2 linked regions of the Oryza sativa Japonica Group genome follow. The protein of the gene in region 1 binds, or shares a complex with, the protein of each later gene. Links are inferred from orthologs where the notes say so. Each region holds a gene or a part of one and is shown on either strand. Other genes may lie near its edges.

The links.
Region 2: mediator of RNA polymerase II transcription subunit 4 (region 1) and mediator of RNA polymerase II transcription subunit 21 share a complex: the UniProt entries of both Arabidopsis thaliana proteins name them as parts of the mediator complex. The link is inferred for Oryza sativa Japonica Group from reciprocal best matches to the Arabidopsis thaliana genes AT5G02850 and MED21.

Annotation. Positions count from the first base shown.
Region 1 is NC_089043.1:25,716,132-25,720,023, forward strand, and holds mediator of RNA polymerase II transcription subunit 4, read right to left. Parts: upstream 2,293-3,892; 5' UTR 2,218-2,292; coding exon 973-2,217; 3' UTR 652-972; downstream 1-651. Other genes in the region: histone-binding protein MSI1 homolog, read left to right, coding at 2,470-3,093. UniProt on the Arabidopsis thaliana protein: Component of the Mediator complex, a coactivator involved in the regulated transcription of nearly all RNA polymerase II-dependent genes.
Region 2 is NC_089042.1:2,025,008-2,029,011, reverse strand, and holds mediator of RNA polymerase II transcription subunit 21, read left to right. Parts: upstream 1-1,242; 5' UTR 1,243-1,357; coding exon 1,358-1,681; intron 1,682-1,982; exon of another isoform or gene 1,983-2,065; intron 2,066-2,202; coding exon 2,203-2,274; intron 2,275-2,547; coding exon 2,548-2,599; intron 2,600-2,713; coding exon 2,714-2,790; 3' UTR 2,791-2,801; intron 2,802-3,270; 3' UTR 3,271-3,504; downstream 3,505-4,004. Other genes in the region: major pollen allergen Ole e 10, read right to left, coding at 3,830-3,855, 3,948-4,004. UniProt on the Arabidopsis thaliana protein: Component of the Mediator complex, a coactivator involved in the regulated transcription of nearly all RNA polymerase II-dependent genes.

The DNA of each region.
Region 1 (3,892 bases):
TACATCCCTTGTATATAAGTATAAATCCAAAGTCACATGATATCTTAATACCCAAAAGAGAACTGATCAATGTCTATTGAATATTTTATGATGGAAACCCTGCTAAGGCTACTGAAATTACGATGAGACCGCTTTGATAACCATGCAGCTCTTGAATTGGGAAAAAAAAGTACATAAAGATGCGATATGCACCAATAAAATTATAAAAGGAGTTACTTCTGATGATGCTTTGGCAGTTCTAACCCATTTGAGTCAATTACTACTTTATCATCTGCAAGATAAGCTCGTGAATGAAAACTAAGACCTATAGTACTAGTATCATGTTTGTAGTAGGAAGATCCCCCATGCTGTGCAATAAGATAGGAAAAATGGTGTGTTCATTTAAGTGCAAACTTACAAGTTGAAACCACTCCCTTCTCATAACTTATATAGCTTGAGTTATAGAACATTCTTGAGTTTTCAGCTACCACTCTTTGGTACAATGGTATAAAGGTTTTCAAACTATATTGCAGCAATAAGAGGTACAGACATAAGGTAAAACAATGAGAAAAATTAAGCAGAGTGCATGAACATGGAAGTCATTACTTGATTGAAAAGCCCATAACCAGCTAGCAAGCCTAGCAAGCAATTATGACTGAAACCTGTAATCTGTGAAGAAGGGCATCAAACATTAAACACACCATGTTCAAGTTTAAATATCCATAAAAGAAGCCATGTTTCTGACGATACAACACCAGCACATCCTGAGGAAATTAGACCATCATGCTTGATTACATATATCGAAGCAAATTGACTAGTGAGATGGTTTAATTAATCAACACATACATGATACGCCACCCAATTCTATTCAATACCAGTATATTGCTGCATGATCTTGAATAATCATGTATGAGAGCTTGCATTATTTGTTCTTACTAGTACATGACCTACAACGGCATGGAAACATGAATCATAAAATAGCTTACCAAGGAACTAATCCTCATCATCTTCTTCAGAGCTCCCGACGTCGCTACTGTACTCATCACTGCTAGAACTATTGTTAATGTCAAGATCAACATGCCGAACCTGTATCGGTTCTTGTGCCTTCGGCACCATTGCTGGCACCACAACCGGCATCTGTTGCACACTGGCCCGTGGCTCCTCACCCTTGACACCAGCCAGAATGCCATCCGGCGGTAGAGTGATCGGGTCCCCGGGTTTCCATCCAGGCGGCGGCAACGGGATTTCGAGAGGCAGCGCCCCGTTCCGCCACCCATGCGGATGCGGCACAGTGATTGGTAGCACAGCTGCCTCCTGGGTTGGTGAAGGCTGAAAAAGCGGAGTGGCATCTCCCTCTGCTGCAGTCCTCTCCTTTGCTTCCTGGGATTTCGGCACTCCAACATCCAAATCCGCAAATTGATACAGCTGCGACATCCTCATCTCATTTTCCTGAGGAGCAGGCGGCAACGCCCCACGCAGAGGCAGCCCAGCACCATGCTCAGGCGGCGCGAAGGTCGTGTAGCTTATGCGGTGGGCGTACGTCAGGACGTCGTCCAGGTTGAGCTTGGAGTGCAGCGACGCGCCAAAGTCGCCGTCTGACACCGGCTCGGGGTCGTCCGCCGCCGCGGCGCCGCGCGGGCGCTTGGGGTCGCGGCGGTAGTCGGCGTAGTCGTCGACGAGGCGGTCGAGCACGTGGTGCGCCTCGCGGAGCTTCTTGGCGAAGGCGAGGATCGAGGCGTCCTTGGCGCGCGCCTCGCGGGCGAGGCGCGCGCGCGCGTCCTGCAGGTCGAGGGTCTCCTGCAGCTCGGCGACGGCCTCGAAGAGCTGGGTCTGGAGCGTGTTGAGCAGCGACAGCGCCTCCTTGGTGGAGGAGATCGGGGCCGGGAGCGGCGGCGGCGGCGCGGAGGACGGCGAGGGGAGGAAAGTGGGGAGTGACCCCCGGTACGCCGAGATCCACGCGGCGCGGCTCGGCGAGAGCTCGAAGAGGTTGGAGGCGAGCGCGGAGATCAGCTGGAGGAGCGCCTGCGCCCGCGGGAGCGGCGGCAGGAGCGGCAGCAGCGACGGCGATGTAGTTAGGGTTGGTGCAGCGGCAGCGGCAGCGCCCACGGCCGCCGCCGCGCTAGGGTTGCCCTGCGGCGGCGAGGAGGTGGGATTCCCCGCAGCCGGGTTGGGCGGGAGCGACGGCGACGAGGCCGTCAGCCCCAGCCGCGCCGGCGAGGGGTGGTGCGACTGCATCATCGCGGCGGCGGCGGCGGCGACTGCGGATGCAGGAGACGGACGCGAGGCAGAAGCTACTAGACAAAATTTCCTCTTAATGGGCTAATGGGCCTCCAAATTGTATTATATGGGCTTTACGGCCCATAAAAGCCCATTAACTCGGCCATAAAACACCATCTCTTCTGACTCCGCCGCATCGTCTCCCCAATCTTTTTGGCGGGAGAGCACCACAGCGCCGCCTCCACTTCCCGCGCAATTCGCAAGAGAAGAGCCATGGACGGCGGGTCCTCCACGGCGGCGAGGTCGTCGGCGGCGGAGATGGAGGAGCACCAGAACTGGAAGAAGAACGCGCCGGTGCTCTACGACCTCGTCATCTCCCAGCCGCTCGAGTGGCCGTCGCTCACCGTCCAGTGGCTCCCCTCCCACTCCCGGTCGCCGGGCTCCGCCCGCTCCCACCGCCTCGTCCTCGGCACCCACACCTCCGACGAGACGCCCAACCACCTCCTACTCGCCGACGCCGCCCTCCCGCTCCCGCCCCGCCTGGCGGCGGCGGCCGCGGCGGCGGGCGGTGCCGTCCCGGCCCCGTCCGTGTCCATCTCCCGCTCGGTGCCGCACAAGGGCGAGGTCAACCGCGCCCGCTGCATGCCGCAGAGGCCGTACACGGTGGCTACCAAGACCTGCGTGGATGAGGTGCACGTGTACCATCTTGGCGACGGCGGCGAGAAGGGCGGCGCCGATGTGGTGCTCAGGGGGCATGAAGCGGAGGGGTATGGGCTGGCGTGGAGTCCGATGAAGGAGGGGTTGCTGCTGAGCGGCTCGTATGATAAGAAGATTTGCCTTTGGGATCTCGCTGCTGGGAGTGGAGCTTCGTCTCTGGATGCACATCATGTGTTCGAGGTAATGCGCCGTCAAATGCCCCCCTCCCCTCATTCCATTTTGCAGTAAACATTTACAGTCGTTAAATGTTACATTATACGATGCAGTTGAGCAATGATTCGTAATTCATAATCCAATTCATTTAGTAAGGATGCTTCGATTGTTTCTTCCCCTTTTTTTTTTCAGTAAACAAATTTTGATCTGCCAGATCTCTTAGTAAACAATATTGAAATAATGAAATTGAACTGTTTCTGGTCTTTCCTAAATGTTGGAAGAGAATCATTATAACTGAAATAACTGCACAATTCCAGAGTAGATAATTGCACTGCGTAGGAGAAAGGACACAGCAATTGAATAACTAGTCGAGAAGAGAACATGGTTCCATTTCCATAGCTGCATTTTAAGCACAAACAATCATCTCTTGGTGTGAGGAACAATTCTATTATGCATAAACAGATCACTGAGTTTTTTTTATGTGAGCGTTCTAGAAGGCACCTGAGCTGATTAGCAAACATCATGAAATTGGGATGTTTTAAATGTAATTGTGGAAAGAGTTTTTTTATGACCTTTGGAGGTATTAAAACTAGGAGATACCTCTACTTTGCAATACTCTGGAGGATAGTAAATTAGCTCTTGTTTTCCAGAACAATCAGTATCTGTTTTGGCATGCAAGGAATGGCTAGCACCTAGCAAGCTAGTCGAGCAATTCTTGTACGCACGTAAAAGCAATATTGAATATGCAGCAGTTCATGTAACAATGTTGTATAATTCCTCTTTCCAATCTGCTAACAGTTCTCTACAACCATTTTACGGACCTTGT
Region 2 (4,004 bases), on another chromosome or scaffold:
CGCCGGCTTGTGGTCGATCTGCAGGCTGTCAATGCTGGGGTAACTTGCTGCTGTCCCGAAGCAAAAAACAACAATTTTCCAGTGTTGAAATCAATGTCATCCAACAATCCAAGACATGTAAAACGTTACCACTGGATGAATGATGCAAGAACAATGGTAAATGTCAGATTCAATTCAGGGTTCTCGTTCTTGTGGAGTCACTCACATTCAGATGATGCGGCTGCGACGAGGGCACACCACCCAGCTTCTGCTGCTGATACTTGCTCCCGTTCGCCTCCTGCAGGAGATCACCATTGAAGAGGCTGCGACAACCCTAGCTCCTCCTCCTCCTCAGACCATTTCCTCCATGATAGGCTCCCTCCGTGGCCGCGGCCGCCGCGTCCGCCCTCGCGCTCCTCCTCCTCCTCCTGTCCCGCTCGCCGGTAGCACGAGGAGCCGCGTCCACGTCATCACCTACCGCTCCCCCGCCGCCTCTGCGGCCGCGGCCGCGCTCCCGTGGATCGACTGGGCGCGCACGGCGTCGATGAAGGCGGCCCCGGGCTGTTGTCCTTCGCCTCCGATCCGGGCAGCGTGGGTCGGTCGCTGGCGCTGCTCGTGGAGTTCGCTCATGGTCGGCGGCGGCGAGGCCCGGCATGGTCGGGTGAGGCAAGGTGGGAAGTCACGCGGGCGGCGGGTGAGGCTCATGGTCGGCGGCGGCGGCGAGGCCCGGCATGGTCGGGTGAGGCGAGGTGGGAAGTCACATTGTCGGCGGCGGCGAGGCCTGGCATGGTCGGGTGAGGCGAGGTGGGAAGTCACGCGGGCGGCAGGTGAGGCGGGCGGCGTGGCTGGCGTGCGTTCTTTTTTTCGTTCTTTTTGGCGTGCAGTTTCTTTTTTCGGAGCAAGACGCGGTGTTAATCCGGTGCTAATTGTAACCGCAGGATTAATCCGGCGCTAATTGCAATCATGGTGTTAATTACACTAAACAACTCGTGCTTTTTATATTAGTCTAGATTAGAGTCCAAGTCCGATTCAATTAGTGTTAACTAATCGGGTGAGTTAATTGTTAGTAATAGTTTGGTTTAATCCTGGGCCGTCCGATCCATTTGTGTGTGGATCAGATCTGGACGCGTGGTGGTGATGTGATGCAATTTTCCGCGTGGGGTCCCTTGGTTCCTTCGTAATCAAGCTAGCCATGGGCCCACGTGCCAGTCAGAGAGTGGCTTGCGCACTGTCGATGTGCTGGGCCCACCAGTTTTCTTTGATGGGCCTAGATGTAATTGGGCCTTGGTGGATAGAGAGGAGGAGGAGAGAGAAGGAGAGGGAGAAGAGGAGGAGGAGGAGGTCGCCGGCGGCGAGGAGGGGGACGAGATCGCCGGAGATGGACATCATCTCGCAGCTGCAGGAGCAGCTGAACGAGATGGCGATGGTGGCGGTGAACACCTTCGGGACGCTGCAGCGGGACGCGCCGCCGGTCCGCCTCTCCAACAACTACCCGGACCCGCTCAACCCCGCCGCCGCCGCAGCAGCAAACCCTAACCCCGACGACCCCGCCCAGCCGCAGCCTGGAGCGGCGGCGGCGGCGGCGGCGGGAGCTCCGGCTGCGCAGGCACAGGCTCCGCCGGCGCAGGCCCAGCCGCCCGCGCTCGACCTCGCCGAGCATCCCAAGGCCATGAGCCACGCGCTCGTCCTCGCCGCCAAGAAGGTACGCGTCTTCCGTCGCTTATCTTCTCTGCTTGCCACCTGCTCGATGAAATGCCTGAGTGCCTGCTGGTTCTTGGGGTCTGACGCTTTAGGGCTTGGACTGTAATTTTTGGTGTGACCAGCCTTAGCATTTTTGTGTGATTGCAACCACGGTCAGGGTGCCTGGTTCTTTGAAAATTCTTCTACTTACAGAATCATATCTTCTATAGTGAGATTGTTCATGTAGTGTGGTAGAGTACTTTAGTTGCATTGTGCTGTTTTTTAGCCCTCTCGAGATAATTTTGAATGGATCTGCAAAATAGGAGCTTCACTCATATTATTCCTCGCAAAGAAGGGTTGACGATGATGTGGATCACACCAATCTTTGTACTGTTCCTCGCAAAATGTAGGTGGGATGATGGTATGCAGCACACCAACCTCTGTCTCCAGAGGGCAAACTTTGCATCTGAGAGTACACTTGAAATGTGCTACTAGCTACTGTTTCCAATACCGTTCTCTTTTTTTTTTGGTTTTTTTATGCAGTTTGATGCTCTTGTTTCTGCGTTGCCACTATCATCTGAAGAGGATCAGCTGAAAAGAATTAAAGAGCTACAGGTATGTCTCAGTTTTGCCCTCTGAGCAGTACATTGTGAAAGGGTGACATTAAGCTAGTGTCTTGTGAAGATGGTATCTTTGTGCATGTTTCCTTCTGTTTTTTTTTTCCTACGCCTTGTGGATGGAGTTTCATACTAAGGTTGTCCTCCTTAGTCGCTTGCTTTCTTCTGAATGAAGGTTTAGCAGACGCTCGGCAGCATGTCCTGCCATAGTATCAGTATTCATGATACTTGTGTCCTGCAGCTAAAATGCTTATGAATTTGAAATGCGCAGGCAGAGAATGAAGTTGTAGGCACAGAGCTTCAGAAACAACTGGAAGCTGCTGGTATGCTTTGCTATTACATTCTTGGAATATTTTGCCTTCATTATATAATTCCTCACCATGTTACAACTGATTATTTACAAGTCCAGTGTTTTACATGTCTTGTTGCTTTTGTAGAGCTGGAGCTGAAGCAAGTTGAGGCTCTTTTTAATGAAGCTACAGATCATTGTATAAACTTGAAGAAGCCAGAGTAATAGTTATCAATGTAAGTTTGGATTTCTCCCTTCACTATCTCAATAAATCTTTAGCTTTTTTTGTGCTTGCAAAAAATTATGCTTGCGCTTATGATATGGGATTATTTTGTGACCAGCTGTATAATCCGCTTGACTTCCCAAACTTGGTACACTGTATTATCAGGAAGTCAGGATACTGATAACAATTTTGTTCTTATGGTGCTTTTTGCAGTACAATATTCTACATGCACCATTTACTAGATGGCTGTTGGCATCATGTCCATGATCAATTATTGGTTTATGTAGTTTATGTACGATGATGGCCTGAACAAAACATAATTATGGTGGATGTTGACCTGTTATATTAATCCCTCGCAAGATGCTTTCATAAAACCCTCTGGGGGCTTGTCTTTCTGTTGATCAGAAAATTCCAACACAGTGTTGTTACGTATGATCGTAGTATCACTAAAATGACTTATGTTTGCTTTCCTGTCATATCAGGTAACGGAACCCATTTTGGAGTCATGAACAGATGAAGGTGGAGATGTGAATGCCAGCTGCCGATGCTACATGTAGACTCAGTTTTAGTATCAAGTTAGCTGATGCTCAACAATATTCCAGTAGTACTTGTTGGATTAGGAATTAAACCTAGCACTGTAATTTACAGTAACTTGAATAGTTTCAAGCTGGTTCGTTTAATCTGAAATAATTTGAGCATAACTTCATGTTTATTTATTATAGTTGGGCCACTGTTCGTTCACAGCAGCACAGGACCATATAGTGCTATGCAAATACAATTAAGACATGCCTAGGATTCATACTCTTTGAACTTTGAAGAACTGCACTGAAGATATGGAACAATATTATCTCGGTATAAAGCATTCCTCTCTAAAGATTACCCAAACATTGAGGCTAAACATGACTTGAATTCTAGCAACTCTGACACTGAAATATAGAACACCATATTTTCTAGGGGCACTTGGACAAACAAAACATCCCTTGAAAACTTTATTTGTCAAGCTCCAGAGATTGGCTGGCTAACTTGGAGCAAACTCTCAACTCAGGCATACTTGCAATTGCCAGAACCTGCAAAGGTTGGCAAGAAAGCCATGTAAATTTGCAGGATTCAGGTGAAAGAAACAGCAAGTGAAGCAAGCTTTGAAGAGGCTAATACTTACTGGGATCAGTGATGGTGATGAGGCCAGTGCCGTTGAAGAAGCAATTCCATGAGTTCC